Linked DNA regions of Callithrix jacchus. The protein of the gene in region 2 binds, or shares a complex with, the protein of the main gene of each other region. Links are inferred from orthologs where the notes say so. Each region holds a gene or a part of one and is shown on either strand. Other genes may lie near its edges. The genes, in order: FGFR3, FGF23 and FGFR4.

Region 1 (3,040 bases), on a different chromosome or scaffold from region 2:
CTGAAGCTGGGTCCCAGTTCTGCCCAGTTACCGCCTCCACCCGAGGCCGGGGTCCGCAGGACACATACACGTCACTCTGGTGGGTGTAGACGCGGTCAAACAGGGCCTCAGGTGCCATCCACTTCACGGGCAGCCGGCCCTGGAAGAGGTGGGAAGGCAGTGTTGGCACGAGGCGCCCCCAGCACGCCCCGCCCCACCCCACAGGCCAGGCTCACGTTGGTGGTCTTCTTGTAGTAGTCGAGGTTGTGCACGTCTCGGGCCAGTCCAAAGTCGGCGATCTTCATCACGTTGTCCTCGGTCACCAGCACATTGCGGGCGGCCAGGTCCCTGTGGATGCACTGGGAAGGGGTGGGGGCAGGGCTGAAGCCTCGACGCCTCTCCCATTGCTCCCAGGATGGCAGAGCCGTCCGTGCCCACTCCACCCACACCTGCTGCCCTGCTCACCTTCTGGGAGGCCAGGTACTCCATGCCCCGGGCCACCTGGTAGGCACAAGACACCAGGTCCTTGAAGGTGAGTTGCTCCTCGGGCGGCTTGCAGGTGTCAAAGGCGTAGTCGAGGCCGGGGGGCCGCCGCGCCCGCAGGAACTCCCGCAGGTTGCCCTTGGCGGCGTACTCCACCAGCACGTACAGGGGCCCTGGGGGCACGGGCTCCTCAGAGGGGCTGCCAGGCCCAGGAGGGCCGCCCGACCTGCGCCGCAGCCGCCAGCGCCCCACCTACCGCCCTGCGTGCAGGCGCCCAGCAGGTTGATGATGTTCTTGTGCTTCCCAATCATCTTCATCATCTCCATCTCCGACACCAAGTCCGACAGGTCCTTGTCAGTGGCATCGTCTGGGCAAGGAGGGAGACTCTTTGTCAGGTGGTGGCGCCCCCAGCCCTGCCCTGCACCCCTGGCCGCCCTCTCCTCACCTTTCAGCATCTTCACAGCCACAGTGACGGGTTTGGCAGCCCGGTCCTTGTCGATGCCGATGGCCTCCGCCATGACCACCTGGCCAAAGCAGCCCTCCCCGAGGGGCTTGCCCAGGGTCAGCCTGGCAGCAGAGGCAGAGAGACCCATGAGCATACAAGCTCGCCCACTCGCAGCCTGCCACAATCCCCACCCCAGCCGGGCCCAGCCCTTAAGGCCCAGAGCCCCCACTTCCAGGAAGCCCTCCATGCTCATCCTGCAGCCTGCTCATGAGGATGAAGACTGTCACCCACCGGCCTTCTGCCCCTGCTGCCTCTCCAGACAGGGCACCTTGAGAGGGGCAGTCCCTGCCATGAACCCCTCCCAGGAGCATCTCCAGAGAGAGGAACAGCTCCAACATCCTCCACGTCCTTGATGGCCCCGAACCCGGCGGGTCCTCTGCCTGGTGTTTCACCCCCACCACTGAGCCCCCTACAGCCCACGCTGGCCCTCAGCGCCACTGACCGGGCCCGGGACAGCTCCCATTTGGGGTCGGCGGGCAGCTCAAGCTCAGAGACGTTGGCCAGCGCTGGGCCCTCCCCCGAGGACAGCCTTGCGATCCGCACCAGCGGCGTGTTGGAGCTCATGGACGCGTTGGACTCCAGGGACACCTGCTTGGGTCGGCAGGGGCAGGTTGGCGCCGCGTGGAGGACAGGGCGTGGGGGTGCAGCCGGGGGTCGCTGTGGGCTGGAAGGGGGGCGCTCTGACTTCCACCAGCGCTGAACAAAGACCATTAGAACGTTTTGTGCCCCAGAGTACCCTGGGCTCTACGTGGTGACCAGAGACAAGGGGAGGTGAGCCCTCCTGGCTGCAGAGGGTGCTGCACAGCCCAAGGCCAACAGAGGCCAAGGGGGCTCCAGAGGCCAGGCGGGCAGGCAGCTCAGAACCTGGTATCTACTTTCTGTTACCTGTCGCTTGAGCGGGAAGCGGGAGATCTTGTGGACGGTGGGGGAGCCCAGGCCTTTCTTGGGGGGACTGCGCAGGCGGCAGAGCGTCACGGCTGCCACCACCAGGATGAACAGGAAGAAGCCCACCCCATAGCTGAGGATGCCTGCGTACACACTGCCCGCCTCGTCGGCCTCCGCCAGCTCCTCCTCAGCTGCAAAGACACACGCGTTGGGGCCTGGCCTGGCCCCCCCCGAGCCCCATGGGTGCCCCTGGCCCAGAGCCACAGGCAGCACTGGGAGCGGGAGGGGGCTCAGAACCCCAGCATCCCCGTTGTCTGGGGGGGGTCCTGTGGTCAGAAACACCGATGAGTCAGGAGGGCCAGACCCTGGAGAGGAGGTGCCCAGCAGAGCCAGCCAGCCCCACACCGCCACCAGGCACCCAGGAGACACCAGAGCCACAGGAGGGGCCTTTGGGGACCCGGATGGGAAGGGGGCTCAAAGGGGCTGATGGGGCCCCTCTAGGACCAGGTCTGGGCCTGGCTGGGCCAACTTTGTCCTCACACTGGGCACAGGGCCAGGTGTGAGGGATCGAGGAGTGGGGCGGCCATAAGCCACAGGGTTCCCTTCCGTCCTGGAGGCTCTGGCGTGTCCCAAGCCAGCGTCCCCGACAGTGCGGGGCAGCAGCCGCAGAAGCCGGTACCTGGCAGCACCACCAGCCACGCAGAGTGATGGGAAAAGCCAATAGAATTGCCCGCCAGGCAGGTGTACTCCCCGGCGTCTTCGAAGGTGACGTTCTGCAAGGACAGAACCTCTAGCTCCTTGTCGGTGGTATTAGCCCCCGCCGTCTACAAAGAGAGAGCAGAGCGATAGGAGAGAGCCAGCACCGGCCTGCAGGCACCGCAGAGTCCACACGGCAGCATCCAGCCACTGCAAGGAGAACGCCGCCACCACCAACTCCTCGAGGCCGAGTCGGCCGCCCCGTGCGGCCCTCCGCCGGGTCACCGGCACCCGAGTCCGAAGCCAGGCCCCTCCACCGGCGAGTCCTCTGTCCCAGGTGAGCGACAGGCGGGCAGGCAGGCAGCATGCGGGTAAGCGCAGGGCCGGGCGGGTGCGGGTGGAGGAGACGGACACACAGACACACGGGCTGCAGAAGCGAGCGCGCAGCGGCCACTGGGAGAGGCGGAAGGGGACGCTCACAGACGGCACTGG
Region 2 (3,644 bases):
AGAATTTCCAAGGGGATTGAGACCCAGATGTGTCAGCCTAGGAGTGTTTTCACTGTCCCGAGAGCCAGTGCTGCCGCAGAGACCTAGAGACCACAGCCACGATCCCGACCATGTGGTTGCCTTTTGGTAACTTCTGTAACATGTCCCCTGGTTATTGGATTTCTTTCCCCTTGAGTCCTTGATGCCACTTCACTTAGAGAAAAGGAGATGATTTTTCAGTCCACAGAAAACCTAACCCAGAGCGGTCCCCATGTCTCAAGGCCCCCTTCTCGGTCACCTTGTTATTGTTTGTTCGGAATGGATTACTACTCAACCTGGAAGTACAGCCTTAATTAAATGCCTCTTAGGAGAGTTGGAATTTATTTCCATTTTGAAAATACGGAATCTAGCAGGGTAGATTTTCATGAGCCAATATAAAAGCGATTCCTAAGACCAAATTTTCAAAAACCGGAGATGGGGCTAAGAGGTGAGGCTGTATCATGAGCCACTTGGGAACAGAGTGGGGCCGTTCTGGGCCCTCTGCCTGTGGCTGCAGAGAGGGAGACAGCGAGACACAGGGTGCCCACCCTGCGGGGAGGCTGTGTTTTCTATTATGATTCATGCCTCAGTTCAGCAAGCATCAAGTCTAGTCGTCAAGTTTTCACCAGCCTGCCAGTGGTGTTTTGACAGCTCTTCTCCAGAGATGTTCAAGGAGGAATGGAGGCTTGGAAGTAGTTTTCATCAACTTGCCCCATTCAGCTGTCAATGTCAAGGTCTGCACACTCAAATGCCAGTGGGATCGCGGCATGTAACATAAAAAACACACAGGGCAGTGGGGAGGCTTCTGGGATCTCCGGAGCTCCTCTTCCCTACACCTTCAAAGTTGTGAGCTCAGTAACCCACTGCTTTTTTTTTTTTTTTTTTTTTTTTTTTTTTTAATGCTTAAAGGTGATAAAGAAGAGAGGCCCAAGGAAGAGAAATATGTCGGGGAGAGACCCTTTTTCTCTACCTCTAGGAAGGAGAAATTTCTGGTTTACCTGTTGGGGTTTCCTATTCAGAAAGATGCTCTATGTGGAGTGAGGAAGGCGGTGAAACCCCATGACTTGAGCGTCAAAGGTCGATTCTCATAGGACCTCCTGGGGAAGGGGCCCCAGAGAAGCCGCCAATTCCATACCTGACCCCCGTCACCTTTCCCAGCCTCGAAACGGCAAGGGAGCTGGTCCTTGGGAAGAGCTGCGTTTGCTGAAGGATGGGTTAAAGAGGGTGCCCTTCCAGCGGCCTAGATGAGCTTGGGGAAGGGGCTGCAGCCTTCTGGGCCTGTTCCCTCAGCGTGGCTGTTCACCCGACCACCCCGGACCATCCCTAAGGGGTCGCTGCCCACCGGGCTGTTGTCCTCGGCGCTCAGGAGCTCCTGCGAGCAGGAGGCCGGGGCCGGGGTCATCCGGACCCGGGACTTCAGCACGTTCAGGGGGTCTAGCTCCGGGTCGTCCTCGGCGCTCCGGGTGTGCCGCCGCGGTTTGGGGGTGTTGAAGTGAATGAGGGGGATCTCGTTCCTCCGGGACAGGAACTGGGAGTACGGGGGTGGGTTCATGCCTGGCAGGAAGGCCCTCTTCGCCCGGCCCAGACTGACCAGGAAGTGATGCTGAGGAGACTGGTAGACGTCGTACCCGTTCTCCAGCCTCTGGGGTCGGAACCTGCAGTTCTCCGGGTTGAAATAGTGCTGGAACGGCAAGAGTGAACCTCGTGAAGATGGGCCGGCGGGGGCCCCCCATCCCCCAGCTCCTTCTGGGGCCACGTGCTCCTGCCCGCCAGCCTGAAGCCCTGCAGTGCCTGGGGCGTTGGGCCTTCATTCCATGGTTCCCTGCTAGGGTAAGGTGGTTTTGACTATGCCAAGCAGGATGGCTCCCCACTTGAGAGACCACTGGGGTCTGCGCCCACTGCCTGGAGGCCCGGGCTGGCCTGGCCTGTGGTTTTCCTGGAGTAGGCACCACCTCGTCCGTCCCGCCCTCTACCTTTTTCAAGCCTCTGCTGGCTGAAAGTTGTCTTGGCTTTGTCTCCTTACTGGAGAAAGGAAGGTCAAACATGAATGAGGACATTGACGTCAGAGAGATGATACGGTATAGGGATTGGAGACATGAACTCTGCCGACAGAGGAGCTGAGTTTGAATCCCCTACCACTAGCCCTGGGTTTTACTGAGTGCCCCCACCAAGGCCTTTGCATGTTATTTCTTATAATCCCCAAACTCCGCATAGTAAGCAGTTTACAGACCGGGACTATCTACACGCCTAGACGGGTTCAACAGATTTTAGTTAGTTACCTGTATTTCAATAGTTGTTCAACAGATTTTTTTTGACCCTACTCTAGCCAGACACGGCTGTAGGGGCTGGGATGCAGCAGAAAGCAAAACAGAAGCCTCTGTTCCTGCGGAGTTTCTGGTGGGTATGACTGGTAGCAAGAGACTCCTGAGAGAAGCAGTCCTACTATTTTACTACCTCAAAATCCTCAAAAAGAAGCCAGTGGCCTTTAGTTTGGGAAATCCTTTGCTCACCAATCCCAGTGAATAGCTATCACAATTGGGGCAGGGGTAATTCATTAAAGATCTTCAACTGGAGGGAGCTCCACAGGTCATGTGGTCTATTCCACTCCACTTTTTCCAAGTGAAAATGCTGAAGTTTGGAGTGAGGAGATTTAGCTAAAGTCACAGCTAGTCCCAGAATCAAGAGGACACCAATGGCTTTTCACTCTTTCTAATGTACTTTACAATGTGAATTGACATGACTTGAGGACCTATGACTGCATCCCAGTGCCTGTGCTAGATCCAAGAATGGTTGTGAATGGGCAGTGCAGACTCGGAGCTGAGAGCCTGGGATCTAGAGCCTGACTGCCTAAGTTCAAACCCCAGCTATTAAACCTGAGCATTCAGTACTTAGACTGCATGAAGTACTCAGCGGAAACGGGTCACCAGGGTACACTGCAAATGGAATTGTTAAGCTAGAAAAGTCTATGTCCTGTCAAAAAATTAGATAATTCTTTGCAAATGGCAACCAACACAAAAAGAAACTCACTGATCCAAAAATGTTGCCTCTGAAATCCATGCAGAGGTATCTTCTGCTCATCACACCTGTAATCACCACAAAGCCAGCATCCTCTGATCTGATCAGCAGGGCACCTACGGAGAAAACCATGCGGGACAAAGATTCATAGCACATCCAATTTCCACCTTCAAGTACCTCCTGAAAACCCACCTTCATGAAACCTCCTGGATTGATTTTAAGGGTGGTGATGACTTCAACACCCTTAAATTCAGCCTCATTTCTACATAGTCTTCCTTTCTTCTGACATCCTCTCTTAACCCCAGCACATGTGTAGTCATTCACCTCCTGCTTCATCTTGTTGCCTGTATGGGGCACTCTGAACTCCTGACATTCGTCTACAAGTGCTGAACACATGTTTCTCTCTCTCTACCTGGACTGTCTTTATTTTCTCCTTTGACTTGCTAATACCTTTGAATGTTTGTGCTGATAGTTACATTGTTTCATGCCTTCTACTTTGTGATTTTTAAATCTATGCTGAGATAGGCCAGGTGCAGTGGCTCACACCTGTAATCCCAGCACTTTGGGAAGCTGAGGTGGGCGGATCATGAGGTCAGGAGTTCGAGACCAGC
Region 3 (3,744 bases), on a different chromosome or scaffold from region 2:
TGGAGGCACAGGCACACTCAGCAGGAATCCCAACAGGGCCAACAGCAGCTGCATCTCCTTCCCACAGCTCTCAGGGACCCAGGCTGGACTTCCCAACAACTGCCTTCCTAAAACAGGGAGGGAGGGAGGGAAAAGAGCTGCTGCTACACGTGCACCTTTGCGGGTGCTTTTCCTTTATTTTGCAGACGAGGAAACCAAGACAGGAAGTGGTCAGCAGATGTGTCCAAGTCCCGGGCCAGGCTGTGGCAGTGCAGACTGGAACCAGCTCTGCTGTGGCCAGAGCCCAAGGCCTCCCCACAGTAGGTTGTGCAAGCGGGCTGGGCTGGGCTTCCTGCTCTCCTTGAGTCCTGCTGGGACCCTGGCACATGTTCACAGAAAGCAGTTTTGGGATTCTTTTCTCAGAGGGAAGTAGAGAATGGAGACTTATCTTCTGCATGCTCTTGGCACACATACTTTATTTCTTGCTGAATAAATGAACTGATGGCCAAAGAGCCAAAAAAGAAAGTGAAAAATAATACAATGCCAAACTTCAGCATCTGGATGTTATCTGATCTGATCCCTGCTCCTTACAGCATTACTGACATTTCCAGGGCTGGGTGCTCACAAGGCAGTGCCTTCTGTGGCAAGCAGGACCACATCCCTGGATACCCCTGCTTGTTATGCCCCAACTCCATCTGAGGCATGCATGGTTTTGTAAAGAATATAGACCCTAATTATCCATCCACTGGAGCCAAGTTCAAATCCTGACTCTTACCAACTTGTAACTCCTTGCCTCCATCCCTCTCTGGGCTACTATCCTCATAGGAATGCTTTGAGGATAAAAGACATAAGATAATGTGTGTTGGAACTGGGCACACAGAGTGTTGGAATGTTCTCCTCCCTATGCCTGGCTCTAGAACTGTTCACCTATTGCCCTGGCTCTGCCCTCAGCCAGTCGCCTCTGGTTCGGGCGCTGTTCCTGTCAGGCTGTGATGTACACATACCCCAGCCGGCTATCCTTTTCCAGATGCTACGAAGGACACTTTTGTTCCCCAAAATGGAATGCTCAGAACTGAGTCTCAGCTGAGACAAAGGAATATGGTGACCACTGTAGTCCTAGGGGGCTACAGGTGGCACCAGCCTCTCTGGATTTACCCTGTGTGGGAAGCCCATTACACCTCCTTCTCCTTGGTCACTGCCACCCCACATCCAGTCCATCTGGCTTCCCCTGCCCCTACTCAGGGCAGGTCATGGTCATCTCTTGCATGGGCCTTTGGAAACATCCTCTCCCGGGGCTCTTCAACCTTCATCTTCCAGCAGGGTTTTAAAAAACTTCAAGTCTGCCATGTTGTGCCCCCAGATTGCAAGCCCTTAATGGCTACCTGTTCCCAGCAGGATCCAGCTCAACATCCTAAGCTTCCCTCTCTACCACTGCCTATCTCTTTAGTCACATGGTCTGCCCCTTCAGGAGCCCTGAAACCACTGGCTTTCCAAACTGGGCACATGTGCTCTCTTGCCCATCCCTCTGTGCCCCTCATTCCTCTTCTCTACCTGCCTCAAGATACTTCTGTCTCTGAGCCCACCTCAACTCCCAAATCCATCCAATCAGCTCCTTGGTAAAACTCCCTACAAAGCTTGGCTTGGCAGGGAGGGCAGCTCTTTGGGTACACAGCTTGGGTTGGGAGTGGGTGGTGAGGCCCAGGAGTTGTATTCCCACCCAGGCTGCCCTGACGTCCGAGTTCTTAGTCGAGTCACCCGTGGCTGCTGACCGCTGACCGAACACCCGGCACGTGGGAACGGAGGGCCAGCCTTAGGCATCAGACAGTTCTGGCTTCTCATCCAGCCTCCTGCACATGCGCTGGAGGCTCCCGGGCAGTAAGTAACTGAAGCTTTCGGGGCCTTGGCTCCCTCATCTCTGCGCGGGCTCGAAGACACCTAGCGGCCGAGGGACAAGCGCGCTCGTCTTCCCCTACCCCTGCCGGGTCAGCCTTGGGGGAGGTGCAAATCAGCGGATCCCGAGGGTAGCTGCACAGGGCCTGCCCGCCCCCGCCTCGGTGGGCAATGAGTAACCAGCTCCGCGGCCTCGGTGCTCTTTGGACAGAACGGGACAAAAGGCCCTGTGTGCGCTGCGGGTTACTGATTTACCGCCCCCTCCACCTCCTGCCGCCCGGCGGACTCCCAGGTCCCCAGCGCCGGGAGGGGCAGTCCCCGCAGCCCTGCCGCCGCTCGCCCCCTGGCGGCTGGGAGCGCAGCCCGGGCTCGCAAGGGTTCCGGCTCACCTCGAGGCAGCGTGACTCCACGCCCGGCAAAGGGTCCAGCTTACCTGGCTCCTCCGCCGCCTCACTCCTAGCTTCAGCCCGCCGCGACCCCTGCACCCGGCAGGGTCCGCAGACAGCCTGAGCGCTCCTCCGCCAGGATCCAGGAATGTACCCGCGACGGCGGCGTGGCCGCGGGCGGCCCACCTCCTGCCCCGCCCCTCGGGCCCGCCCCTGGTTCCCCGCCCACCTCCTGCCACGCCCCCATCGGGCCCGTCCCGCCTGGATCAGCTCGAGCCGGAGCGAGGCGCCGCCAGGGGTGGCCCAGAGCCCCGCCCCCGACCCGGTCAGCCCACTCCCGGGACCCCGCCCCAGCCTATGCACACCCCCTACAAACGCTCCATTCAGGCTCCGCCTCTTTTGCCCTACCCAGGCCCCAGGCCAGGCTTCCAAATTCTAGTCCACTACCCAGCTCTGCTCCTTGCTCTTCATCCCTCAGGGAATGCCAGGCTTCCCCGTCTTCTGCGCAACCTTCGGTGTGATACTTAGAACACAAATCTGATTTGTGTCAACCACTCCCTTAACTTTTCCTATAGCTTCCCATAGCTCTTTATACATAGATTATTGCCATGACCCAAGTCTCCTGGCTCCTACTTTACAACCCCTGTGCAGTTTCACGTACCATTTCCTCTTCCTGGTATGGTTAATTTCATATTATTCTCAGTTCACTTCCTCCAGGAAGCCCTCTGAACTTGCAGGCTCCCCTGAGATGACTTCTCCACTGTGAGGATGGAGAAAGAAAACAGAGTGAAGTGGTTCACAGCACAGATTGCAGGGCTGGACATCATAGGCTCAAATCTCAGCACCATCACACAAGGCCTTGGTCTTCACTGTCTTTTCAGTAAAACAGGCAAACGATAGGATCACCTTCAAGAGGTTATTGAAAAAAGTGACATGTCAGCAGTATGTGTAAGCCTGGCATGCTCTGCTTGCTTTGTAATATTAGCTGTAATTATTTAGGACCTGTTATTTCTTCATCACTTGCAAGAATTGTAACTGAACAGTGAATTATGTAAATAGCTGTGGAATGGTTGGGCACATGACGGGTGCCTGTAGTGCTAGCTACTAGGAGGCTCAGGTAGGAGGATCCCTTGAATTCAGGAGTTTGAGACCAGCCCTGGTGACATAGTTGCCCTGTCTCTATTTTTCAATAGAGGAACTGTGCCTGCAGACCTCACCAGTATAGTTCCAGTGTCTGGCATACAGTAGGTGCTCCCAGTTAGTTCCATGCCTACCCGGCTGACTTCTCTCCTGAGCATCTAGACTGGGACTAAATTTGGAGCCAGGCAGCCTCTGATCTCTGCCCATTTCTCACCTGAATCTCAAGCCCTATGCTTCTCTTAAGGCATCTTGAGAAGGAAGGAAGTGGGATAGGGGCACCTGTGGTCCCCGCTACGCGGGAGGCTGAGGCTGGAGGATTGCTTGAGCCCTGGAGGTTGAGGCAGTAGTG

The links.
Region 1: the proteins of FGF23 (region 2) and FGFR3 are in contact, whole or in part, in a cryo-EM structure (PDB 7YSU), measured with the Homo sapiens proteins. The link is inferred for Callithrix jacchus from reciprocal best matches to the Homo sapiens genes FGF23 and FGFR3. Residues at the interface, in NP_065689.1 of Homo sapiens: Ser29, Leu32, Gly33, Ser34, Trp36, Tyr43, Ala45, Ala47, Arg48, Asn49, Ser50, His52, Ile75, Arg76, Ser77, Glu78, Asp79, Ala80, Gly81, Val83, Val84, His117, Gln118, Thr119, Asn122, Gly123, Tyr124, Asp125, Leu158, Ser159; in NP_000133.1 of Homo sapiens: Glu157, Arg158, Asp160, Lys161, Leu163, Leu164, Ala165, Val166, Pro167, Arg223, Asp244, Leu246, Glu247, Arg248, Ser249, Pro250, Val277, Tyr278, Ser279, Asp280, Ala281, Gln282, Pro283, His284, Ala312, Gly313, Ala314, Thr316, Thr317, Asp318.
Region 3: the proteins of FGF23 (region 2) and FGFR4 are in contact, whole or in part, in a cryo-EM structure (PDB 7YSW), measured with the Homo sapiens proteins. The link is inferred for Callithrix jacchus from reciprocal best matches to the Homo sapiens genes FGF23 and FGFR4. Residues at the interface, in NP_065689.1 of Homo sapiens: Leu32, Gly33, Ser35, Trp36, Gly37, Tyr43, Ala45, Thr46, Ala47, Arg48, Asn49, Ser50, Ile75, Arg76, Ser77, Glu78, Asp79, Ala80, Gly81, Val83, Val84, Tyr93, His117, Gln118, Thr119, Asn122, Gly123, Tyr124, Asp125, Leu158; in NP_001341913.1 of Homo sapiens: Glu156, Lys157, Lys158, Leu159, His160, Ala161, Val162, Pro163, Asn166, Asp240, Leu242, Glu243, Arg244, Ser245, Pro246, Lys272, Val273, Tyr274, Ser275, Asp276, Ala277, Gln278, Pro279, His280, Ala308, Asp309, Ile310, Ser312, Gly336, Asn337.

What each region holds. Positions count from the first base shown.
Region 1 is NC_133504.1:191,347,229-191,350,268, forward strand, and holds part of FGFR3 (fibroblast growth factor receptor 3), read right to left. Parts: intron 2,677-3,040; coding exon of another isoform or gene 2,532-2,676; intron 2,044-2,531; coding exon 1,853-2,043; intron 1,664-1,852; coding exon 1,410-1,663; intron 1,030-1,409; coding exon 908-1,029; intron 830-907; coding exon 719-829; intron 636-718; coding exon 445-635; intron 339-444; coding exon 216-338; intron 140-215; coding exon 69-139; intron 1-68.
Region 2 is NC_133510.1:17,759,706-17,763,349, forward strand, and holds part of FGF23 (fibroblast growth factor 23), read right to left. Parts: intron 3,150-3,644; coding exon 3,046-3,149; intron 1,700-3,045; coding exon 1,259-1,699; 3' UTR 1-1,258. UniProt on the Homo sapiens protein: Regulator of phosphate homeostasis. Inhibits renal tubular phosphate transport by reducing SLC34A1 levels. Up-regulates EGR1 expression in the presence of KL. Acts directly on the parathyroid to decrease PTH secretion. Regulator of vitamin-D metabolism.
Region 3 is NC_133503.1:69,055,464-69,059,207, forward strand, and holds the start of FGFR4 (fibroblast growth factor receptor 4), read right to left. Parts: upstream 2,378-3,744; 5' UTR 2,303-2,377; intron 1,915-2,302; 5' UTR 1,735-1,914; exon of another isoform or gene 1,697-1,734; intron 108-1,696; 5' UTR 55-107; coding exon 1-54. UniProt on the Homo sapiens protein: Tyrosine-protein kinase that acts as a cell-surface receptor for fibroblast growth factors and plays a role in the regulation of cell proliferation, differentiation and migration, and in regulation of lipid metabolism, bile acid biosynthesis, glucose uptake, vitamin D metabolism and phosphate homeostasis.